6 linked regions of the Callithrix jacchus genome follow. The protein of the gene in region 6 binds, or shares a complex with, the protein of the main gene of each other region. Links are inferred from orthologs where the notes say so. Each region holds a gene or a part of one and is shown on either strand. Other genes may lie near its edges. The genes, in order: ERCC2, POLR2G, GTF2F2, GTF2E2, CTDP1 and GTF2F1.

Region 1 (3,500 bases), about 34 Mb from region 6:
ACCCCAGTTCTCTCTCTCAATTCTCTCAACAGCCCTCTGTGATCAGGGAGGACGCATCCCCATTTCACAGATGAGAACACTGAGGCTTGAGAGATGCACCCACAGAGAGGCAGAATCAAGCCTAGGTCTGTTTGAATCCTGAACTCGGGCTGTTCTGCCTGAGCAGTGGGGGAAGCCAAGGAAGGAAAGAAGGAAGGTGGCCCCTGGCTCCCATCTCACCTCCTGGCCCCAGCCTCAGCCTCTCCCACTCACCATAGGGCAGAGGCAGACCCGAGCCAGCGTCATGGTGAAGGTTGCCATGGTGACAGGGTGGAAATCCAGGATCTTGGGGTAGATGTCCAACGGGGACAGCGTCTGTAGTGGGGACAGTAGTGGGGAGAAATCTCAGCAGGACCGGGCAGGGACCAGGAGACCCATGGAGGAAGGCCAGGGACTGGGAGGGGACAGGGGAAGGGTCCTCACCCCAGATGTGATGATGACAGACTGGAAGCGCTCGAATACAGGTTTGATGGCCAGCGAGGCGTCCATGCAGCTGCAGAGAGGAGAGGGTGGTGAGGGCCCGGCGGGCTGGGCCCCCCACCCACAGTACCTTCACACCCCCACCAGGCAGGATCCCACCTGAAGTGCAGGATGGGGTTGGCAATGGTTGGGGTTCTGTCGTCAAAGGGCTCGATGATGATGGTGAAGCCTGCAGAGGGCGGGCAAGGGCAAGTGATTCCCCCCATGCAACCACAGCTGTGCCCACTCAGTCATTCCCTCTCCTGCTCCACCCCAATCCCCATCCCGCACTGCACAGGACTCAATGGGTCCAAACATCAGCTGCTTAAGCCCCAAACCCAGGCATCCGAGTCCAAAACACACCCCAACCTGTCAGCCTCTCCACAGGGCCCACATCTGTGCAGACTGTCACAAAGGATCCCAAGCAGACTGTACCACAGCCCTGTCCACTGCTCACTCTCCCAGCACCCACACCAAAGCCAGGAGCCAGAGCCTCATGCCTTCTCCCAAGACCAGTTCTTACTTATTTTTGAGATCACTTTATCATTCAGGCTGGAGTGCAGGGGGCCGATCTCAGCTCACTGCAACCTCTGCCTTCCAGGGTTCAAGCGATTCTCCTACTTCAACCTCTCGAGTAATAGATTACAGGTAAGCACCACCTACCCAGCTAACTTTTGTATTTTTAGTAGAGATGGGGTTTCGCCATGTTGGCCAGGCTGGTCTCAAACTCCTGACCTCCAGTTATCTGCCTGCCTCAGGCTCCTAAAGTGCTGGGACTACAGGCATAAGCCACTGTGACTGGCCTCCCGTGACCTTTCTACCTAAGCCATCGGCTCTGCCTCCAAAACCCACCTGCAATCAGACCACTGCTCCCAACCCTACCCGGGGCCAGCCACCATCACCTCCTGCCTGAACCATCATGCCCTGCTCACTTCATGGCAGCCAGAAGGGACCCTATGGAATCCTGAGTCCGGCCATGTCACCTCCCCACCCCAAGAAGCCTCCCATGGCCCCCACGTGCCTTTAGCATGTCTGACCTTCAAAAAACTGCAGGCTCAGTGCCCCGAAGACCTTTACACTTGCTGATCCCATGTGGCCTGGAAAACTCCTAAGTGGCCCCACTTGGTCATCTGAGACTGCTCAAAAGTCAGCCCCTCAGAAAGGCCCTCCCCAGACACCTTTTCTGCGCACACATGTTCCAACAGAACTTTTTTTTTATGATAACTGTCACTTTCCGGAATCATTTCCTCTTTTATTTTACTACATCTTTGCTATTGGTTTTCCTCTCTGAAATATAAGTTGCAGGGGGGTAGGAATGAGATTTTTTTTTGGTTCCTGCTGCTTCCACAGTGCTGAGCCTGGCCCGTTTGTTGAAGAAATAAATGAATTAATTAACTTATATATTCAGTTTCACACAGCGAAAAAAATAAGTCCTCTGTGCTGGGGACACAGGGGTGACCAAGCCAACTTTGCCCCTGCTCGCACAGACTCGAAATCCAGTAGGAGGCAGAATTGTACCCAGATGGTGATGACTGAGTGGGCAATGCTGGGATAGAGGTGCCTAAAGGAGGGGCCTGACTCAGGCTGGGGGTCAGGGAAGGCTTCCTGGTGGCGGAGACATCTCTACAGAGCTGAGAACCTAAGGATGAGGGGGAGGTGGCTGGGGGGATGAGGAAGATGAGGAAAGACACTGCAGGTGCAAGAACGTAAAGGGCTGGCAGATAGGAAATAGGGGGTAGAGAACGACAAAGGCAGGGATGGAAGGTGGGGCAGGGCAGGACAGGCAGAGGCAGCGGCCAGCAGGCTTTGCTACTAACCAGCCCCAGGGCGGGGGCCCAGGTCTCCATCCTCCTGCCAGGCCCCACTGAAGGACATTAGCCCCAACCCAGTGTCCTGGGTAGAGGAGAAACCCCTAGGAGGCAGACTGAGCCCCTGGTCAGCTTCACAGTGAGGATGCGGAGGGAACACTGCCCATAAAGCCTCCGGAACCACGCCCCTCTCCTGCAACATGGAAATCTGAAAATCAGCCTCAACTCCTCTTGTCCCAGGTCCCACAACCGGGAACCATGCTCCCCACATCCCAGCCTCTACCTCCCACCTCTCTCTCCAAACCACACCCATCTCTCTCCCCATGGCTACACCCTGGCCACGACCCCTCCTCCCCTGCTCAGGCCCCCGCCCGCCACCCAGTCTCCTGCCTGCTTCTAGTCCCTGAAAGAAATTTTTTTTTTTTTTTTTTTTTTTTTGAGATGGAGTCTTGTTCTGTCGCCCAGGCTGGAGTGCAGTGGTGTGATCTTGGTCACTGCAACCTCCACCTCCCAGGTTCAAGTAATTCTCCTGCCTCAGCCTCCCAAGTAGTTGGGATTACAGGTGCACGCCACCATGCCCAGCTAATTTTTGTATTTTTAGGGGAGACAGGGTTTCACCATATTACTCAGCATGGTCTCGAACTCCTGTCCTCAGGTGATCCACCAGCCTCAGCCTCCCAAAGTGCTAGGATTACAGGCATGAACCACCACGAACCTGGCCCCCAGAAGAAATCTTTCTAAAGCACAAATCTGGGCTGGGTGCAGTGGCTCATACCTCTAATCCCCACACTTTAGGAGGCCAAAGTGGGTGGATCGCCTGAGCTCAGGTAAAACCCTGTCTCTACTAAAAATACAAAAAAATTAATATGGTGTGGTGGTGGGAACCTCTAGTTCCAGCTACATGGGAAACTGAGGCAACAGAAGGGCTTGAGTCCCAGAGGCGAAGGCTGCAGTGAGCTGAGATCGCACCACCATATCCAACTTGGACTACAGAGTGAGACTCTGTCTCAAAAAAAAAAAAAAAAAAAAAATCACAGATCTGACCTGGCGCCTTGCTTGCTAGAATCTGCTATGGCTCCCCAGCGCCCTCAGGAACACAATGACCAACTCGTTACCGGGCCCTCTAGTGTGAGCTGACCCCAGAGAACTTCTCTGGCCTCATCCTCACTCTGCAGCCCAAGGAAGTCTGTGAAA
Region 2 (4,162 bases), on a different chromosome or scaffold from region 6:
TCAACCCAGGAGGCAGAGGTTGCGGTGAGCCAAGAGCATGCCATTGCACTCCAATCTGGGTAACGAGCAAAACTCCGTCTCAAAAAAAAAAAAAAAAAAAAAAAAAAAGATTTGAACACTGGTTGGGCACATGATCTTGACCAGTACACTTAACTTAAGCTTCAACTTCTGTAAAAAAGCACCCACCTTGTAAAATCACTGTGGGTCTCTGCACATTACCTGGCCCATAGTAACTACTCAGTCAATGCAGGCTTCTATTGTTATGACTATAAATGACTCCCTTGCCCTCTGAGTCACACAGGGCCAGATTGCCATACAATTTTAAAGTGAAGCACAAGAAGTAAAAGTTACTGGCCAGGCATGGTGGCTCACGCCTGTAATCCTAGTGCTTTGGGAGGCTGAGGTGGGCTGACTGAGCTCAGGGGTTCAAGGCCAGCCTGGGCAACATGGCAAAACCCCATCTCTACCATAAAAAAAAAAAAATTAGGCAGCCGTGGTGGCACATGCCTTTAGCCCCAACTACTCAGGAGGCTGAGGCAGGAGAATCGCTTGAACCCGGGAGACAGAGGTTGCAGTGAGCCAAGATCGTGCCACTGTACTCTGGGTTAAAGAGCAAAATTGTCTCAAAAAAAAAAAAAAACAAAAACAAAAAGTAAAGTAACTTAGCTGAAGGCACAGAGTTATCAAGTGGAGCCAGGACCCAACGACATCTTCCAAGAGACTACCCCACTGGCTCCCCTATGTATGGTCTCACCTTGTTGACCTGCGTGACAACAGCATCCACGACTTCTCCTTTAAAGGGCCGGAAAACAATGGCCTTGTACTTAACTGGATAAAGGACGAAGCCTCGGCCTGGCTGGATCACACCAGCACCGATATTGTCAATGGTGGTTACAGCGATTACAAAGCCATACCTGCAAGGAGGAGGAGAAACAAACGGCATTTTGTGTCCATGAGCCTCTAAAGATTCTGCAGTAAAAGTCACTGAGCTTTTGGGAGGAGGGTCAAGGAGAACAAAAGGACAAGTTGCTAGCACCTCAGTTACCAGAGCTTAATGACCAAGAGAAGACAGGACACAGATCAGTATGTATTAGGCCAAATGCTGCTCTGATAATTTCACAATAAATGTCCAAGATGGCTGGAGACCTTGAGCCAACAGGGGCCAATCTTTGGGATGCCTGAGAATCATCTTATTAAAATGCAGACTCTCTGGCCCAGCACGGTGGCTCATGTCTGTAACCCCAGCACTTTGGGAGGCCGAGGCAGGTGGATCACCTGAGGCCAGGAGTTTGAGACCAGCCTGGCCAACATGGAGAAACTCCATCTCTACTAAAAATACAAAACTTAAGGCCGGGCACAGTGGCTCACGCCTATAATCCCAGCACTTTGGGATGCTGAGGCGGGTGGATCACGAGGTCAAGAGATCGAGACCATCCTGGTCAACATGGTGAAACCCCGTCTCTACTAAAAATACAAAAATTAGCTGGGCATGGTGGCGCGTGCCTGTAGTCCCAGCTACCCGGGAGGTTGAGGCAGGAGAATTGCTTGAACCCAGGAGGCGGAGGTTGCAGTGAGCCAAGATCACACCATTGTACTACAGCCTGGGTAACAAGAGCAAAACTCCATCACAAGAAAAAAAAAACAAAACAAAAATTAGCTGGATGTGGTTATGCACATCTGTAATCCCAGCTACTTGGGAGGCTGAGGCAGAATGGTTTGAACCCGGGAGGCAGAAGTTGCAGTGAGCCGAGATCGTGCCACTGGACTCTAGCCTGGGTGAGAGTGAGACTTCCATCTCAAAAAAGAAAAAATAAGCAGATTCTCAGGTCTGCCCCAGAGAATCTTGATTCTGTAGGAAACAATGAGGTTCAGGAATTTGCATGTTCAAGAACCACCCCAGGTTTTTCTGATGCTGGAGACCCAAGTAACTCCACTGCCCTGGGCTGGGTCATTAATACCACCCTGGGAGAGGCTCCTCTGCACAAAGCCCAGAGATGTTCAAGTCCCAAGCTGCTTCCTTCCTCCCCCAACTCGATCTGCCTTTTCTGGTCATTCATTCAGAATATATATTGAGGCCCATGGTGTGTGGTCCCTGGGCACAGGGGATAAGAGAAAACCAGCAGAATGACAGAGGGAGAGCAGACACAAGAACAGTAATTACACTGTGGACTCCACGAGGGCTGGTCTCATTCTATCTTGTTCTCAGGGCCCAACACGGGTCCTGGCACACAGCAAGGATTTTTTTAACATGTTTGAGGAGTAAATGAATGATTAATTTCAACGGAGGGAAGGAAGTCTTATCGGCCAGCATTGCAGAGGGAGTCCTGGGAACCCAAAGCAGGAAACAACTGGCAGCCTGAGAGAGTGAGAGAGGTCCCCAGAGTGGGTGGCAGGACGAGCAGGAGCTGGGGAGGGGTTGCAGGTATAGCGCCTCGTGTGTGCGATCTGGCTGCGCGGTGAAGTCGGCACTCACTTCCCGGTGCAGGTCCCCTCCACCTCGGTGAAAAGCTTCTGCTTCACCGTGTTGAGCAAATTGGGGCCGAAGTAGCGCGGGTGCAGCAGGATTTCGTGCTCTAGGGAGATCTGCGGAGAAAAGTGGGATGGCGACCAGGCCAGGCGCTGGGAGGTTATCGGGCAAGAAGGGGCCCCTCGCGCCGGCGCCCGGCTTTGCTCCTCCTTCCCACCCAGCCCTTGCTGCCACCCTGAGCCCTGCTCACGTGGTAGAACATCTTCCCAGAGCAGTCTGCGAGGCTAAATCCACACCTCTTGCCGCCTCCGGGAATCCACCGGAAGCACAGATAGCCTCAGCAACCCCAGTTCCGGGCCGGCCGCGACAGAGGGAGGAACTCCACCCCCTTCGCGGGTTTGATTGGGCCTCGCTGTCGTGGGCGGGAACCACTAAAGCCACGCCCCTCGCCCGCCCAACCTGGGCCTCAAAAGGCAATTCTCTTAATGCACAAACTATAACAACCACTCAGTAAATACTTATAACGAGATTAATTAGTGAAAGAATCCATAAGTCAAGCGCTATAACAGAGTGCAGCAAATCGATTCAGCAAATATATATCTACACATGTTTGTTGGAGGCCCAAGTACTTCACTGCCCTGGGCAGAGAGAGAGTCTCTGTTGTCCAGGCTGGAGTGCACTAGCGGGATCATAGCTCACTGGAGCCTCCAACTCGTGGCCCCAAGCGATCCTCCCATCTCAGCCTCCCAAGTAGTTGGGGCAGCAGGCGTGCCACCACGCCCAGCTAATTTTTAAAAATTTTTTTTTGTACAGACCGAGTCTCTGTGTTGCCCAGGCTGGTCTCCAACTCCTGAGTTCAAGTGATCTTCCCGCTTCAACCTCCCAAGATGTTGGAATTATAGACATGAGCCACCACACCAGACCTTTGTCTTTCTTTTTTCTTTTCTAAGAGAAGGGATCAGTCCGGGCGCGGTGGCTCACGCCTGTAATCCTAGCACTTTGGGAGGCCGAGACAGGTGGATCACCTGAGGTCAGGAGTTCAAGACCAGCCTGACCATCATGGTGAAACCCCAACTTGAAAAAAAAGGGGGGGGCTGGGCGCGGTGGCTCACGCCTGTAATTCCAGCACACTCTGGGAGGCCAAAGCGGGTGGATCACAAGGTCAAGAGATCGAGACCATCCTGGCCAACATAGTGAAACCCCGTCTCTACTAAATACAAAAAAAATTAGCCGGGCATGTTGGCACATGCCTGTAATCCCAGCTACTTGGGAGGCTGAGACAGGAGAATCGTTTGAACCCAGGAGGCAGAGGTTGCGGTGAGCTGAGAATGCGCCATTGCACTCCAGCCTGGTTAACAAGAGTGAAACTCCATCTCAAAAAAAAAAAAATTAGCTGGGCGCAGTGGCAGGCGCCTGTAATCTCAGCTACTCTGGTGGTTGAGGAAGGAGAATCGCTTGAGCCTGGGAGGAGGAGGTTGCAGTGAGCTGAGATTGTGCCACTGCACTCAAGGCTGGGCGGCAGAGCACAACTCCATCTCAAAAAAAAAAAAGTTGTTGGAATCCCAAAAACCACTTTAAGCCTCGAGAGAGATGTGACTTCGAGTCACATACAGTTTACAATTTCTGTTCTCAGATTATAGATCAACTCACTTTCTTATTTGTCTTGTTCTCTACATTGACTAGAAAGACTTAAAT
Region 3 (4,300 bases), on a different chromosome or scaffold from region 6:
AAAGTTTCCCTAACTCCTAAGCTTCATTATCATGTACCTAGCATCCTGTGATTTTTTTTTTTTTTTTTTTGAGACAGAATCTCTCTGTCGCCCAAGCTACAGTGCAGTGGCACGATCTTGGTTCACTGCAACCTTCACCTCCACGGTTCAAGCGATTTTTCTGCCTCAGCCTCCCGAGTAGCTAGGACCACAGGCATGTGCCATTATGTCTGGCTAATTTTTGTATTTTTAGTAGAGACAAGGTTTCACCATATCGGCCAGGCTGGTCTCAAACTCCTGACCTCGTGATCTGCCCACCTCAGCCTCCCAAAGTGCTGGGATTATAGGCGTGAGCCACCAGGCCCAGCCCAATCCTGTGATAATTTTCTAATTGTGACTCTGGTTGCCCTCCTCTCTAATTCGTACTGCACACTGCCAAACATTTTTTTTCTGAATACCTGGCGTCGCTACCTCACTCAAGTCCTCCAAAAAGTTTGTTACTTCCTTGTAAACTAAAGTTAGAACATTTCCACTTCATGACATGACAGTCTGAGTATATGGGCCCAACCTTTATTTACACAGATCTTCTGCTCTAGGGTCTGTTTTCCACAACATGCCAAAACATGCCATGTTTTCCACGATTACGTATTTTGAGTCTTGCATTTCTGTTCCACTCCCCATGGTATACACCATGTCTACCCATCCAAATCATGTAAGGCAAACATTGAGCATTTACCATGCTCCTAGGACAACGGCACCATCTCCAGTCACACTATGTTTTCAAGCTTTTTCCTTCAGTCTGCAAGGATCATCTCTTCCTTAGTGACTCTCCTCCAATTAACATGCTGCTGGAGCGAGAAATGCCTATTTAATCCATTCTTTTTTTTTTTTGAGACGGAGCTTCGCTCTTGTTACCCAGGCTGGAGTGCAATGGTGCGATCTCGGCTCACCGCAACCTCCACCTCCTAGGTTCAGGCAATTCTCCTGCCTCAGCCTCCTGAGTAGCTGAGATTACAGGCACGCGCTACCATGCCCAGCTAATTTTTTGATTTTTTTTTTTAGTAGAGACGGGGTTTCACCATGTTGACCAGGATGGTCTCGATCTCTTGACCTCGTGATCCACCCGCCTCGGCCTCCCAAACTGCTGGGATTACAGGCTTGAGCCACCGTGCCCGGCCTATTTAATCCATTCTTTTAAGTCATACTGAGCTTTGAAATAAGTCAAATGAGTGCCACAGACTAAGGCAAGGGTTGAAGAGTGAGAGGTCAGGCATTTATTCATCACCTGTTTGTTGAATAATTACCATGTGCCAAACACTATTCTGGGTAAACAGGCAAAGATCCTGTTCTCACGGAATGCAATTTTGTGTTGGAAAGACGAAGGTAACCAACTTTTCACATATTAACACAAAATCACTCTACACCGTGAAAAGTGCTTTGAGGAATGTAACATGGATATGTCATGTTAGCAAATGATCATAAGGGAGCTCTTTTAGGAAGACCGACAAGGAAGACCGCTTAGATATAATTGACGAGAACTCAGCCATGTGATAAAATAAGCGAAAGCATTAAGAAACCAAAAGTCCCTACATTTTAAGTTTCAATGAGTTTCAGGATCACATGTCGAATATGCCTAAGTATTATGAGCCTCCCCTAGGAGACAACACTCCCCAACATGAAACAGTGAAGCACGAGTAGTGCCCACTGTGAGCTAACCAAAATCGCTGTCTTTACGTAAAACACTTACTGATGGTCAGTTTCACGAGACCCAATTGTGCTCTAAAAGAATATTCCAGGCCGGGCGCGGCGGCTCACGCCTATAATCCCAGCACTTTGGGAGGCCGAGGCGGGTGGATCACGAGGTCAAGAGATCGAGACCATCCTGGTCAACATGGTGAAACCCCGTCTCTACTAAAAATACAAAAAATTAGCTGGGCACGGTGGCGCGTGCCTGTAATTCCAGCTACTCAGGAGGCTGAGGCAGGAGAATTGTTTGAACCCAGGAGGCGGAGGTTGCGGTGAGCCGAGATCGCGCCATTGCACGCCAGCCTGGGTAACAAGAGTGAAACTCTGTCTCAAAAAAAAAAAAAAAAAAAAAAAAAAAAACAAAGAATATCCCAGTCCAATGACGTCTCCTGCGAGTTGAGAGCTGTCTCGCCTCTTTTCGGAGCTCCATTAAGGACCATCAACCTAACACAACACTTTAAGGGTACGCATGGACCGGTTCTACTTTCTCGCCGAGAAAAATGTACAGAAAACAGACATTCAACTACCCCACACAGGCTCATGGCTAAAAGCAGTTTCACCAAGAGAAGACACAAGGAATTCTTCGGTCCTAGATAAAATGCACCGTCCAAACCGGGGACATCAGGACGAGGCTCCAGGAAAGCCGTGAGAAGAAGAGACGAGTCCAGGTGGATTCAGACTCGTAACTGGCGCGCCTAAACGGATTTCCTCATCTGCAAACATACAGCAATGCCTCCTGCCTCTCAAAGTACGTGAAGCTCTAACGAGACAGCCGTAAAAGAACTTTAAGAGGCGCACGCAGCCGGATGGGTTCAAGTTACTTAAACTATACTCGTGTTGGGAGGAGCGCGCAGCGAACGTTACCTTGACAAGCCACACTCCCGTGTTCTGTTTGGCGCCGGTCAGATCGAGTTCCCCGCGCTCGGCCATGGGTCTGCCGCTGGTGGAGGCGCGCGGGCTGTAGCAGCGACCCCAGGAGCCGGAGGGCTGCGGAGCGAACGTCCGGAGCAAAGCGCTAAGCCGCGCTGAGAGGTGAAGAGCCGGCGTTTCTCACCGGCCCGGACACCGGAAACCCGCGGAAAGGGGAACACGCCGCCGGGAGCTGGGATTGCGCCTGCGTATTACTACGTCAGTACGGCGCCCTGTTGCGGACAAACTTCCTGTGTCGGCAATTTCTCGGGTGGGCGTGGCTGTCAGCGATGTCTATCAGAGGGATTGAAACTTGGTTGGGATGAGCCAAAACGTTAGCAATGTATTTAAAGACAAGGTCAGCATAACTGAAGAAAAAGATTATCAGAATGAAAAAATGGGGTTCAAAGAGACAAGAGCTGTCAGAACATGTCCAGTCCTAGCCAGAGAGAGGAGAGAGAGAGAGAGACAGTATTTGAAGGGCAGGATCTGGGTAGCAAATGGGCGTCCTTGGCCAACGTCATTAGCACAGGTGGGCACTGGGATCAGACTGGGTAGCCCTGGTACTGAACACATGCCGTTTCTAGACCTGAAAAGAAAGCGGTGTTTCAGCTCGGAGGCTGCCTGAGCTCTTCTGATTAAGCGAGCAGAGCACCTCAGACTCCAAAACCCGGAGGTCTGTGAAGAAATGAACAAGTAAGAGACAAACTTGGTCGTTTCCTCCCCTGCGTAAACGATGTTCTCTTTCTCTTCTTGCCTCTGGAATAAAATTCAACCCTTCTGCTTCAACTGGGCCCTCCACCACCACCCATCACTCCACCACCCACCCAACCACACCAAACCCAGCAGACTTTCCTGAACACGTCAGAATCTTCCTCGGTCATTTCAGAGCCTCTGCACACTGGATTCCCTTCCCTCAGATGCCCTGTTTTACCCCTACCCTCATTCCCACCCCTGTCCTCTGGTTGCCAAACTCCTACTTGTAGTTCAAGACCAACGGAAATGTCACTTCCTGTGACACCTTTTATCAACTCCCCCGGAAGAAATTAGTTTTTCTTCACATCACGCTGTGATACTTAGCACTCTGCACTGTAATATGTATGTTTACATGTCTGCCTTTGCTTTCCAGACTATGAACTGGTCCTAGGCAAAAAGAGCCTTATTGAGGTATAATTGACAAATAAAAAATAGTGCTTTATTCATTTTATCTCCACAATGTCTAGTACAGTGTTTGATACATCGTCAGATTTCAGTAGGCTTTGGTTGAAAGAACATTCGCTGAAGAGAAACAATAAGGTATTGTTAAGAATGGCAAGTAATTTTTTGAGTCATACATCAGAGCCATGAACAAAATTGAGGAAATTTTACGTATGTTCAGCATAGGGCCAGGAAAAGCTGTCAGAACTCTACAATTAGCTAGCAAAACTAATAGGAAAGATGGGAGAGACTGGGAGTGTGTTGAAAATGAAAGTTTCGGCCATGTGTGGTGGCTCATGCCTGTATTCCAAGCACTTTGGGAGGCCGAGGCGGGTGGATCACGAGGTCAGGAGTTCGAGACCAGCCTGGTCAACATAGCAAGACCCCCATCTCTAAAAACAAGAAAAAGAAAAAAAATTTAAGTAGAAAATGAAGATTTCTTCTTGTGCAACAACTTGGGAAAGGGCCT
Region 4 (4,284 bases), on a different chromosome or scaffold from region 6:
TATAGAAAATTTCCAATCTGGAGGTGGTCTGAAACAACTTCTATATTGTGGCTGTTTGTCCGGTTCTAAAACTACAACCCTAAGCAATTTCAGTACAATCAAGGAAGCTACAGGTCAACCAACAAGAATTCTAAACACTCCTTTCTTTTGAACTCTGCTAGTACCCTGCAGAGGGTCTAGGAAGACCTCAAGCTGACTATATAAATGAATTTGACACTGTTAAGACTAGTGTCAGCTGGGAGGAAAAAGACTCAAACTTTGAAAGCTTTTAAGCACAGGATAGCTCAATAAATATTTGTTAAATGAACAACACATGGAACAAGATCTTTTAATTGCTCTGGTCCCATGATTACTGGTTACACACGCCTTTATTAAGTGTCTTCTGTTTGCAAGGCATGTGCTCTAAGCTTTGAAAGGTTATGGAGGATAAATCCTAGTCTGCATGCTGCTTAGATTTGAGAAAATGAAAGCCTTGAGCTAAAAACTTAAAATATAAGCATTAGTAAGGAATAATCAGAGTGAATTTCAGTTAAGGCGTGAAGAATCACTGGATGGTGAATCAAAAACCTGCCTTCTCTCAGTTTTTTTGAGTTATTATTTTAATATATGGAGCATACATTTAACATATTTTCAAAATTTAAACAAAGTTTTTGTTTGTAAATGATTCTGAAGTGTGCATGGAAAAATAAATATTTCAATTTTTTTTTTTTTTTTGAAACAGTCTCTCTCTGCTGCCCAGGTGGGAGCGCAGTGGTGTGATCTCAGCTCACTGAAATCTCCGCTTCCTGGGCTCAAGCGATTCTCCTGCCTGCCTCAGCCTCCCGAGATGCTGAACTACAGGTGTGCACCACCATACCTGGCTAATTTCTGTATTTTTAGTAGAGAGGGGCTCATTCACCACATTAGCCAGGCTGGTCTTGAACTGCTGACCTCAAGTGATCCACCCACCTCAGCCTCCCAAAGTGCTAGGATTACAGGCAGAGCCACCACGGCCTGCCTCATTTCAATTCCTAAGAGCCACATGGCTAGGCAACCCACAAGGCCACTACACTCAATTTCACAAGTAAAATGAAGACGCTGCCAACGCTGTCCACGATCCAACCCAATTTTAAGAATGAGAAAATGTGTACGTTATTTTTTAAATAGTAAAGTCATAAAAACATGTTATTTTAGTATTACTATTTTGAGTTGGATCTGAAAAAAAATAAGAGAATGATTTACCGGGCTGAGGAAGATAGGAGACAGCCTTGGGAGGAGGGAAAACGTGAGGACAAGAAGAAAGGAGAATTATCAATTGAGAAGGTGGGGGCAACAAGCAGATTGTAAATTCCTAAAACAAAAAAAATCTGTGTTTTATTTCACCTTAATCCAATTTCACCTTTGATTAAGGCAGGACCTTAATCCAGACTTTTAAAAAATGACCTTAGAAGACTTAAATAAACCCGTACAGTTTACAGCAAACTAAATGCTTACAATATTTGACCCTTGCAACTCTCGGAGCGAAAAGTTGTTAGTGTTATTCCTATTTTAATACGTGAAATGTGAAAGTGAAGCTGTCTGATTAAAGGTCGCACCGATGGAAGAACCAGGGTCAGAACCCAAACCTCCTGACTCTTAAGTCGAATGCTCCTTACACCAGACCTGGAACGCTGGTAAAGGCCTTTAAAACAAAGGCGACCTACGAGGTTCTGGAACATTCAAAGGCACCTAGAGCAGAAGGCTTCGCGATGTCTTTCACCATCACATGCTCTAACTTCTCCTCCTTTTTCAAAGACTACTCAATATTTGTACTAAGTTTAAGATCTCAGGACCCACCTGTGTAGTAAACAAGCTACATCACTATGTCCATTTTACATTAAAACAAAACAAACTACCACCACAACTCAAAATGTTCACCGGTTTCTCCGTGGGTAGATATGGAAAACCCATAAATTAAACGAAAAGCTGATGGTTCCAAGCCCACGACTCTTGCCACCATTCGACCTCTTTCAACCTTTCTACTTTCCCTCTCTTTTGCTTCTTTCCAAGCCTCAGAAGTGTCCAGGGCACCTCAGCACCCGGCTATGAACATCGGGCTGCTTCGCCTTTAAATGACAGCAGTTGGGAGGTGGGCGAAAAGGGGGCCGCAGCCTTATTGTGTGGAAAACATCTTTAGACTGCAGAAGTCAATTACTACCGTTAAAGTTTAGGAATCATCACAAACCAACTCTCCAAAAGGTAGCCTAGAAACCAGTTCGCGTATGAGAATCTAAATCACAGCCTTGAGCTGGCTGGAACACCGTGGCTCCCGAAACTCCACACGCGGTTCGCTTGGCTACCGCGCCCGTGAACTTGGAGGCTTGAAGGCACAGTCAGCAGACCGCGAATTTTCCCTCTTCCCAATCCAAAAGTTTGCTCAATGAACCTCCGGCCTAAAGACAATGCTGGGGGAACCGTTCGCGTGTTGGGTGTTTCGCGTCGAGAACGGCGGCCCCAGCTTCCCGTGGGGTGTAGGTCACGCTCGGCCCCCCGGGAAGCGGCGACGCGCCTGGGTCCCGGGGAACAGCAGGCCGGGGCTCCGCTCCCCTCACCCGGCGGCCGCAGCCCCTACCTGAGTGATTAGGGCAGCCCCGCGCGACTCGCCACCGCCTCCCTCCGCCTACGCCTCGGCCAGCCGCCCACGCCGGCACGGCAGCCTCTTCCTGTTCCTCGTCAGCGCCCCCGCCTGCCCGCACGCTCCCCCAGCGGGGACCCGCCAGGTCGGGGTCTCGCCACTTGCAGCGGCGGTGGTTGCTGAGGCGGCGACTCGACCCGGGACTCCGCCCGCCACTTCCCGATCGGGTGCTAAGAGCTCAGTCCCAGCAGCCACCGCGGCGCCATGGCCGCCGAGCGCGCGCATGCGTCATTGCGTGCCCTGTCTTGGGTGCCGCGGGAGCAGAAGTAGCCCGCTCGGGCGTCCTGTGGGCTCCATGACAACGAGGGAATGCTGGGGGCGGGGCCGAGGAGGGGACTGAGATGGGAGGCGGTGCCAGGGATGAGGAAAGGGGGCTTTCTTTACGGACGCTTAATTAAAGCTGCTACAGCCTGCCCCGGAGTGCGCTGGGTTGTGGTGAACCCAATCGGCGACTCTTGTCTTTCAAGGATTATTTTGATTTCTTTGTCTTTTTCTTACTAGTGACAGGATCTCACTCGATCGCCCAGGCTGGAGTGCAGTGGCGCTGTCTCGGCTCACTGGGGCTCCAAGCCCACGATTCCTGCCACCATTTAACCTCTTTCAACCTTTCTACTTTCCCTCTCTTTTGCTACCTTTTGGAGACTTGGTTTGTGATGATCCTCCGCCTCCCGGGCTCAAGGCATTTTCCCACCTCAGCCCCCAGAGTAGCTGGGATCAAAGGCGAGTGCCACAAGGACGGGCAATATTTGTTATTGTTGTTATTGTTTGTATTAATAGTGTCTCACAATGTTGCCCAGGCTGGTCTCAAACTCCTGAGTTCAAGTGATCTGCCTGCTTCGTCCTCCCAAAGTGCTGGGATTACAGGCGTGAGCCATCCCGCCCGGCCTCAACGGTTATTTTGTGACTACCCCAGTGCCACCCACCGTCACCTGCCCTCCGAGAAGGCGGTTCCAGCCCTTTTACAGCGAAGAACAGAGGCCCAGAAAGCTAATTAATAAACAACTTTCTCAAGACAGCATAACTAGCAAAGGCAGCCTGATGTGGAGCCCAGCCCAGGCTCCGCCCTTGTGAACTGTCTTAGGAAAGGATTTTGGATTCAGAAGCACGATGAATGGGTGAAAATAAAGCAATTGGAAAAATAATTGTCGTTGCCCGAACCCTGCAGCGTGGAGAACTTCCCTCAGTCTTGTAACCTAAAGTGGTAGTACAGCCAGCTCTCAGCCATTCTATGGCTCTAATTTAATTACTTGTTACTGATTACTCCTCAAGTTACTGAACCTGTGGCTTGGTTTCTCATCTGGGAAATGGGGATAATCATTGTACTACTACAATGAGTTACTTGCACTGGACTGTGGTGAAAATTAAATGAGAAAATACCTAAAATTTTATTCAAAACTTGGAGAAAAAAGTTGAAAGACAATATTTTGTGATCTTTTTGATTAGTTTCATTCTAGAGAATTTTGTAATAAGCCTACTTGATGATCATCTGACATGCACAGAAAATGTAACTTTGTTTGAATCACAATTGATTAGGGCCGAGAATATTTACAAAAGGATAAAATCAAAGAACTAGTAGGAAACTGATGAGGAGTAAGGGGAGAAAGGGGCAGGGAATTCAGTATGTATTAAAA
Region 5 (3,500 bases), on a different chromosome or scaffold from region 6:
GGGAAGAACCGGCATTGGGTGGAACAGGGCAGTGGGGGGCACACCCTCCCGGTCGGGAAAGGCCGCGGGGCTGTTCTCCCTGTAGGAGGAAGAGAACAAGGGCTGTGAGCGGGTATCCAGGCGATGCAGGGCAGGCATGCAGGGACTCCCAGCGGGCACTGCCCAGGCATGTGAAGCAACAGCCACCTGGAGAGAGACCGCCTGGCAGGGACTGGAAGCACCCACCTCTGTGCCTTGGTGTGGTCGTCCCTGAGCGGGAAGAGCTGCTCCTCCACCTTGTCCCAGCGCTCCAGGCAGCTCCACAGCCAGTCAGGATTGACCACGTGCAGGTGCCCACACTCCTGTGCCTGCAGCACCTTCTCTGTGCCTGCGGGAGACCGGGCTGAGTCAGGCTCAGGGCGCTCACCTGGCTGCACCCCACTAGGGCTGCCCATCACAGGTGCCCATCTCCCAGGCCAGGGACAAGCAGCCATGGTGGGAAGGGAAAGACAGGTAAGGCTGGAGTGGGGAGGGTGGATCGTGGACAGGGAGCTGGACGCAGTGGGTGACGTGAGCAACAAGAGGACCCTTTAATGTGTTCAGGAAAGCCCCTCAGCAGTGAGGCCACTAACACGGAAGCAAAACGGAAACGTAAGCACGATTTGGGGAAGGGAGAAGTGAGAGGAGGATCAGGAGCTGGGCAAATACAGAGCACAGCAGACGGGCACTCGAGGGGCTGTGGAGGCCCCGGCCTGTCTCAGCTCCATGGTCAGGACACAAGGGCCTGACTGCCCACGGGGCCGAGGCTTAGCTTCCTCCTGGGACTCACAGAGCCTGCCTCCACCCTGCAGCTAGCACCCAGCTATTTCACACTGAGATGGAACCTTCCATTTCACCCTTGACTCAAATGCTTACTGAGCACATGCTTGTCCAACGCCACAAGATACACGCTGGAGGCGTGACCTCAAATGACAGGGAGCATTTGCGTGGCCGGGGATGAGCTCACCCTACAGCCACAGGAGCCACAGAGGCAGGGCCAAGCACTGAAAAGCCCTCTCAGGACACGTGGCCAGGAGAGAAACGACGACTGGAGGAGCAGAACCTGAAGGCGTTCAAGCAACCTTCACTTGGGAAAGATCAAGGTGCTTATGGGAGTATTTTAACACAGTAACTAGGTATTTGGGTTTTTTAAGCAACGAGGTGTGAGCCTTCCTTCAAGATTCACCTATCGCTGAAAGGTTCTGTTTTACTCGGTGGAAGTCTCAAACACGGCAGCCTGTCCTGTCTGGGCAGGTTTCACCGTCGGGGGACAGTGGCCCGTCCTCCGCTCTTCCAGCCACCACGCGTCCATCCTTCTGTGTGCACTTCGGCTGAACCCTGTGCTTGGCTTCCTAACTCGGAGGGTTTGTCCGCCTTTCACCTGTGAACTGAAGTCCCCAGCTCCTGTTCCTGCCTGGAGTGTCTCCACTGCGCCCCATTGCTGATTCCCTGTTCTTACTCCAGGAAGGAGCTTCTAACTGTCTGCCCCACACACTAGTAACTCCTGCCACCTGGCATGGTGTGCATTGGCGATGACTGTGGTCCGAAAGCATGAACGTGCCCAAACCTGAATTTCACCCAATGTCAGGATCTATTCTTAAAAGATGGTGATTCTGGAAAACATTTCTGAAAACTGAACGTGAGATAAACAGCAATGTCAACTCTAAGGCATGCTGGCAAGGAGTCTGCGGGCCTGACCACGCATGCCCAGGGTGTGGGGAGGGAGGCGGCACTCACCAGCCCGTGCGGCGATCAGGTGCGTGGCCCTGTCAGGGGCATCGGGACTCAGCACCAGCCGAGTGAGGATCTTTGCTCCCAGCGCTGTGGCGTGGTAATGCTCCCGCGTCTTCTCTATTGGGAAGTTGGTGGGGTGCAGCCCACTGAAAATGATGGCCACGTCCGCCAGCACCTTGCTCTTGAGCTCCGGCACGATCTTGCGGATGTCTGGCGCCTCCTCGATCTCCTTGTTGAGGAAGCGGTCGTACTTGGCATAGTAGTCGGTGTGCACACGGACCAGGATCTCCTCCAGGTAGATGAGGTGGTCATCCTCATCCGTGTCCTCCTCCTCCTCCTCCATGCTCTGGTCCAGGGACTCGCCCGCGGTGACGCCCGACAGCTCGCTGTTCTGAGACTCGGTCTCCGCCTCCTTCCTGTCGGCACAGCCGTTGCCCAGGCTGCAGAGGCTGTCCCGCTCGCCCTCCTCCTGCCCACCGAGCTCGGGCCCCTTGTCCGGGACGTGTGCACTGGGCTCGGCCTCTCCAAGGGAACTTGGCCCTGCAGGCCGGCTTGCCTCCAGGGGCCTGCCCTGCACCAGCACCTCAGCTCCCTCTGGGGCAGCCTTCGGCTTCTGTCGGCCTCTCCTCCCTTCACTTTCACCGTCAGAAGCCGAGGGGGAGGACTTTGTGCCCTCCGACTCACTGCTGCTCTCGCTGTCACTGGATAGGTCAAAGTCCAGGTCAGTGCCCATGGCACCCTGGGCAGGCCGCTGTCCCGGTGCTGCCCGGCCACCCTGTGCACAGGATCCCTGGGGCTCGAGAGCACCTGCCAGCTCTCGGCTGCCAGCGGGGGCCTGGGCAAGGGGCCAGGTGTCCTTCTCATCTGGCTTCCCAGGGCGGGGTGAGTCCTGCAGGACGGCAGCCTCGCTGCCGTTCAGCTCCCGTGCTGCTGTCTCGAGGCCGTTGCTGGGCTCCACTCCAGGGGCCTGTGCTCCCTCCTCAGGGTCTCTCACGGGCGGGGCTTGCTCTGAGACCTCGGTGCCTCGAGAAGAATGATTTACTAAATATGCACGCAAAAGGAAAAGTTACCACGATTCAGCATTCAACATTAAATAGCGTTCAAAGTTAAAGCAGCACCCTCTCCACAGCCGAGAGCTCTCAGTCACCCCCAGACCAGGCCTTGGCAAAGGTGCTGTGCAGAGCCGGGAGGGCTGAGTACCCCTCACCCCAAGCACATGGGCCCAGAGATGTGTTGGATATCGAGTTTGTTTTCTGATTTTGGAGTATTCGCATTAAACTTCCAGTTCAACATCCCAAGTCTGAAAACTCCAAAATGCTACATGAGTATTTCCTTTCCTTTGAGCACTATGTGGGTACTCAGGAAGTTCTGGATTTGGGGGATGAGGGATCCTCTACCTCCAGGGACCACTGGAGGTTTGCTTCCCAGCTCTGGGCTGCAGACCTGGCACCCTATGGCCACGGTTTATCAAGCCCCGCTCCGGAGGACGTCGCTCCGGAGGACTCACCATCTGGTGAGTCCCCACCTCTATGGCAATGCCTCCAGTTCCCCTCTCTCCTGGTCTTAACCTCCAAGTTCCATTTTAGTGACTACAGCAGTAAATGTATGCCTCAAAATACTTTTTAAAAAATAAACATCAAAAACACTTAACTTTTCACAGGGTGAACGCCAGCTGCACACCTGCCTGACATGTTAAACCACACCGCTCTCTGGGGCCCTGGCCAGCGCCCAGCCGGACCACCGTGCAC
Region 6 (4,257 bases):
AGGCACGCGCCACCATGCCCAGCTAATTTTTTGTATTTTTAGTAGAGACGGGGTTTCACCCTGTTGACCAGGATGGTCTCGATCTCTTGACCTCGTGATCCACCCGCCTCGGCCTCCCAAAGTGCTGGGATTACAGGCGTGAGCCACGCGCCCGGCCGGGAATATAAATTAATGACATTTCTGAGGCTTCTGACTCCCCAGAACTTATGGGGTCTACCCCCTACACTAACCCACTACAGGAATTAAAAAGTTTACACCCCAGACTACTTCTGCCTCTCTCACTCCTACATTCCGAGGAGTTGGCAGTTCTTGACATTTAGTGGATGAGGAATAAATGAAACCAGACATGTCTTGTTCCCCTTCCCTCTGCGTAGCCTACAACTCCTATGCATCCCTCAGTGGCCAACTGAAACCTCCCGTCTTCTCTGAGCCCTCAGAGCCCCGCTGTGCTTCTCCTGCTCCTTCCTGGGTTGTAGATTCCCATTTTATGAGTCTCCGCCACGACACTGTAACCCGCAGAGGACAGAGAGCTGGTTTGATATATTCACCTGGCGGAGCCCGGAACCCAGCAGCGTGCTTGAGTATTTCCGAACTAGAGCAATGAATGGTTGTGCTGTGAGCATGCGCAATTGTGTTACTGCCAGGCTTGAGGGGTGTGTGCACGCCTGGAATGGGGTAGGGGAACTTGCACCTCCCTCCCGTCCTCTGCAGCCTCCTTCCCTTCCCCCCAGTAAGCCAGCCAGCCACCCCCACGACGTTACTCTTCTCCGGGGGCCTCAGAGCCCTGCCCATTTGGGGCAGCTTGGACTTGCAGAGACCCATCCCGCCAGCAGCCCTTGGGGTGGTCGCGCCCCGATTCCGGGCAGGCTCTGACCCCTCCTGGCTCGGCTCAACGTCACAAGGGTCCCCGCTCCGGTCATTTTGCGGGAATGACGGGGTCCACCCCTTCTGGGCAGGTAGAGGAAACGAACCCCAAACAGGCCCATAGGGAGCCAAGCGGCAGTTCGACTGGACCCGAGTAGGCCTCAGTTGCTATGGTGACGCGGCCTTCCAAGCCCCAAAGTCCCGAGCGGCATGACGCATGCGCAAAGCGCCTGGGAGCCCGCAAGGAGGACTAGCTTCCTTCTTCCCACCCAGGATGCCCTGCGGTCCTTGGGTGCTGACGTCACGAAGGAGGGCGGTCCCACATTTGATGACCGCACTGTACATAGGAGCATCAGCGACCAAGGCCGGTTATTTGATCTCAGACTCGGCCTTGTTGCGTCTGAAAAGGGGCAGGGGTGGCTCTTTTGAGGTGGCCATAGACGCCGAGGAACATAAGTGACGGCGCATTGAGGTAGCCACAGCCGCTTAGAAGGTTGCCATCGCGACGCGGCCGCTGGAGGGTTTAGCTTCCGGGTTAGGCGGCCGCGGAGGCGTAGACGGAATAACCTGAACGCCTCTTCCGGTTACCCTTTCCCAGTGCCAGAGGCGCCTAGGGTAGGAATCCTCACACGGGGACCGGAACAGAGACCCGACAAGGAACGGCGGCTTCCCCGAGATCGAGGGACGCGCTAGCCAGAGGAGAAGAAAGGAACCCGGGTCGGACCACGGAACCACTGACCATTGCCCATGGCGGCCCTAGTGAGTGTGGATTTGGCGGGGTTCGGGGGTCCCGGCGGCGACCTCGGCGGCACCTTACTCACCGTCCGCTTCCTCTTTCCGCAGGGCCCCAGCAGCCAGAATGTCACTGAATACGTCGTTCGAGTTCCGAAGTAAATCCCCTACCCCATCTCCCACTCCTCTCCACCCCGCAAAAGTGAAAACCTTTACGGTCCTCTTAGCCTGACGTTTCTGGCCCTGTCTGTGGTTCTCCCTCCAGACCGGGGGACTTGGAGGGCAGGGCTGCGATTAAGCTGAGGCTTCTCTGGAGGCAAACACTGCTTTTTGTATGAATGAGTGCATTAATACACAGCACGATTCAGCCTCCTGGCCTAACGTTCGAGAGCATATGATGCCCAGGCTGTCTCGTCCTCTTTCAAAGCGAGCAGGCTGCCTTTCCTTTCCAGGCCTTTGTACATCCCGTTCCCTCTGCCATGAGTGCCTCCCCTCAGCCCCCAAACGGTGACTCTGTTGGGTGAATTCTTGTTGATTCTGCAAAACTCAGCTCCAGTATCATCTTCCTCCAGGAAGCACTCCCTGACTGACCTCCCTCCTCCCCAAGGCTGAGTTCCCAATAATCTCCACATCTTGGGTTTCTCCCAATCTTTGTTCCTCCATTTGTTCTTCGTCTGCACGCAGTTAAGAGGGGATGGGGTCTAGCTTCTCTGGCAGACTGGGATTCCTGCAGTCTTCCGTATCCAGTGTTGACAGGCAAAACAGACTGAATGAACCAGGGTGGGTTTGTTGAGTGACTGAATTAATGATTCAGTGGAATGGAATGCTTGAATTAATGGTTCAGTTGAATGGAACGATCGAATTAATGATTTGATTGAATTAATGATGTGTTCACATTGATTGATTAAATTAATGATTGAATTGAATTGATGTATTGGATTGGCTCTATCTCTTCTAATCCACTCTAGGAATACAACCAAAAAATATAACATCATGGCTTTTAATGCAGCTGATAAAGTCAACTTTGCCACGTGGAATCAGGTAAGTCCCTGGGTCCTGGGGGTCGGGGGCTGGGGTGGTGAGAGAACCTGACCCTGACCTTGGTGGTTGTAATAGTTGCTTAGCTGTCATAGTAACTAAGTCTTAATTTTCTCACTTTTCCCAAGTGGAGATAAGGTAGATGACAAAGAGTTGGGTGCAGTAGTTTGTACCTGTAATCTTAGCACTTGGGAGGCCAAGGCAGGAGGCTTGCCTAAGGCCAGGAGTTCAAGACCAGCCTGGGCAATATAGCAAGACCCTATCTCTACCAAAAATAAAATAATTAGCTGGATGTGGTAGTGTGCATCTGTAGTCCTGCACAGGAGGCTGAGGTAGGAGGATCACTTGACCCCAGGAGTTGAAGGCTGCAGTGAGCTATGATTACACTACTGCACTCCAGCCTGGTGACAGAGTAAGACCTGTCTCAAAAAAAAAAAAAAAAAAAAAAAAAGATGGCAAAGGCCCAGGCCAAGCTCCTGGGTGTCCCTGTAAGTTACGTTTAGTAGGACCACAGGAGGCCATTCCTTAATGGAGAACATTTAGAAGTTGTGCCCACTGATGGCCATTTTTGCCAAGGTTTATCTGGCTGAGGGAGGGGACTGGGCTAGGGCCTTCCCCAGAGCCCCTGCCATCAGAGGCTCTAGAAAGGACTGTGGGAGCCATTAAAGCATCCTCCACGGGGAAGTTGTATTGTGATCTGGCTGCTGTGGGGAGGCAAACTGTGGGTTTGAGGGCGGATAAAGGGAGAACAGGGTGGAAGCAACTGGGCTGACTGGTCTAGGTGAGTCCTGGCCTGGGGATGTGGAGGCCGTGAAGGTGATGAGATGTGGCTGGATTCTAGAGTGTTTTGGAAATGGTACATATGGACCTTGAAGCAAGAGCTTAAGGGTAATTGGGACCTTATTGGCCACATAGGTCATGATTAATGGTTACATTTTAGAGATTTTGGTGTCTTACTGTCAACAAGTTTGGCACAATGAATTTCTTTTTATTTATTTAAATTTATTTTTTTGTGATGGTGTTTCACTTTTGTTGCCCAGGATGGAGTGCAATGGCACGACCTCAGCTCACTGCAACCTTCAACTCCCAGGTTCAAGCCATTCTCTTGCCTTAGTCTCTCATGTAGCTGGGATTACAGGTGCCCACCCCCACTCCCACCTAATTTTTGTATTTTTGGTAGAGATGGGGTTACACCATGTTGGTCAGACTGGTCTCGAACTCCTGACCTCAGGTGATCCACCCACCTTGGCCTCTGAAAGTGCTGGGATTACAGGTGTGAGCCACTGTGCCTGACCTTTTTATTTTCTTTCTTTCTTTTTTTCTTTTTTTTTTTGAGACGGAGTTTTGCTCTTGTTACCCAGGCTGGAGTGCAGCGCGATCTCGGCTCACCGCAACCTCCGCCTCCTGGGTTCAGGCAATTCTCCTGCCTCAGCCTCATGAGTAGCTGGGATTACAGGCACGTGCCACCGTGCCCAGCTAATTTTTTGCATTTTTAGTAGAGACGGGGTTTCACCATGTTGACCAGGATGGTCTCAATCTCTTGACCTCGTGATCCACCCGCCTCGGCCTCCCAAAGTGCTGGGATTACAGGCTTGAGCCACCGCGCCCGGTCGCTTTATTTTC

What was found.
Region 1: GTF2F1 (region 6) and ERCC2 share a complex: the UniProt entries of both Homo sapiens proteins name them as parts of the TBP-based Pol II pre-initiation complex. The link is inferred for Callithrix jacchus from reciprocal best matches to the Homo sapiens genes GTF2F1 and ERCC2.
Region 2: GTF2F1 (region 6) and POLR2G share a complex: the UniProt entries of both Homo sapiens proteins name them as parts of the TBP-based Pol II pre-initiation complex. The link is inferred for Callithrix jacchus from reciprocal best matches to the Homo sapiens genes GTF2F1 and POLR2G.
Region 3: GTF2F1 (region 6) and GTF2F2 share a complex: the UniProt entries of both Homo sapiens proteins name them as parts of the TBP-based Pol II pre-initiation complex. The link is inferred for Callithrix jacchus from reciprocal best matches to the Homo sapiens genes GTF2F1 and GTF2F2.
Region 4: GTF2F1 (region 6) and GTF2E2 share a complex: the UniProt entries of both Homo sapiens proteins name them as parts of the TBP-based Pol II pre-initiation complex. The link is inferred for Callithrix jacchus from reciprocal best matches to the Homo sapiens genes GTF2F1 and GTF2E2.
Region 5: the proteins of GTF2F1 (region 6) and CTDP1 are in contact, whole or in part, in an NMR structure (PDB 1ONV), measured with the Homo sapiens proteins. The link is inferred for Callithrix jacchus from reciprocal best matches to the Homo sapiens genes GTF2F1 and CTDP1. Residues at the interface, in NP_002087.2 of Homo sapiens: Thr470, Lys471, Leu474, Gln478, Ser486, Thr489, Val490, Leu493, Ala494, Leu497, Lys498, Leu500, Asn501, Pro502, Arg504, Met511, Phe513; in NP_004706.3 of Homo sapiens: Ala946, Asp947, Met949, Ala950, Lys951, Ala952, Leu953, Glu954, Glu956, Leu957, Asp959, Leu960, Met961.

The regions. Positions count from the first base shown.
Region 1 is NC_133523.1:39,539,601-39,543,100, forward strand, and holds part of ERCC2 (general transcription and DNA repair factor IIH helicase subunit XPD), read right to left. Parts: intron 2,500-3,500; exon of another isoform or gene 2,316-2,499; intron 689-2,315; coding exon 619-688; intron 533-618; coding exon 463-532; intron 355-462; coding exon 253-354; intron 1-252. UniProt on the Homo sapiens protein: ATP-dependent 5'-3' DNA helicase. Component of the general transcription and DNA repair factor IIH (TFIIH) core complex, not absolutely essential for minimal transcription in vitro.
Region 2 is NC_133511.1:120,037,547-120,041,708, reverse strand, and holds the start of POLR2G (DNA-directed RNA polymerase II subunit RPB7), read right to left. Parts: upstream 2,801-4,162; 5' UTR 2,730-2,800; coding exon 2,718-2,729; intron 2,584-2,717; coding exon 2,474-2,583; exon of another isoform or gene 2,191-2,473; coding exon of another isoform or gene 2,162-2,190; intron 915-2,161; coding exon 755-914; intron 1-754. UniProt on the Homo sapiens protein: Core component of RNA polymerase II (Pol II), a DNA-dependent RNA polymerase which synthesizes mRNA precursors and many functional non-coding RNAs using the four ribonucleoside triphosphates as substrates.
Region 3 is NC_133506.1:164,327,290-164,331,589, reverse strand, and holds the start of GTF2F2 (general transcription factor IIF subunit 2), read right to left. Parts: upstream 2,801-4,300; 5' UTR 2,656-2,800; coding exon 2,590-2,655; intron 1-2,589. UniProt on the Homo sapiens protein: TFIIF is a general transcription initiation factor that binds to RNA polymerase II and helps to recruit it to the initiation complex in collaboration with TFIIB.
Region 4 is NC_133514.1:31,806,037-31,810,320, forward strand, and holds the start of GTF2E2 (transcription initiation factor IIE subunit beta), read right to left. Parts: upstream 2,801-4,284; 5' UTR 2,591-2,800; intron 2,526-2,590; exon of another isoform or gene 1,897-2,525; intron 1,242-1,896; exon of another isoform or gene 1,222-1,241; intron 1-1,221. UniProt on the Homo sapiens protein: Recruits TFIIH to the initiation complex and stimulates the RNA polymerase II C-terminal domain kinase and DNA-dependent ATPase activities of TFIIH. Both TFIIH and TFIIE are required for promoter clearance by RNA polymerase.
Region 5 is NC_133514.1:121,980,888-121,984,387, reverse strand, and holds part of CTDP1 (RNA polymerase II subunit A C-terminal domain phosphatase), read right to left. Parts: exon of another isoform or gene 3,413-3,500; intron 2,794-3,412; coding exon 1,756-2,793; intron 368-1,755; coding exon 226-367; intron 80-225; coding exon 1-79. UniProt on the Homo sapiens protein: Processively dephosphorylates 'Ser-2' and 'Ser-5' of the heptad repeats YSPTSPS in the C-terminal domain of the largest RNA polymerase II subunit. This promotes the activity of RNA polymerase II.
Region 6 is NC_133523.1:6,031,203-6,035,459, reverse strand, and holds the start of GTF2F1 (general transcription factor IIF subunit 1), read left to right. Parts: upstream 1-1,457; 5' UTR 1,458-1,611; coding exon 1,612-1,623; intron 1,624-1,707; coding exon 1,708-1,754; intron 1,755-2,564; coding exon 2,565-2,637; intron 2,638-4,257. UniProt on the Homo sapiens protein: TFIIF is a general transcription initiation factor that binds to RNA polymerase II and helps to recruit it to the initiation complex in collaboration with TFIIB. It promotes transcription elongation.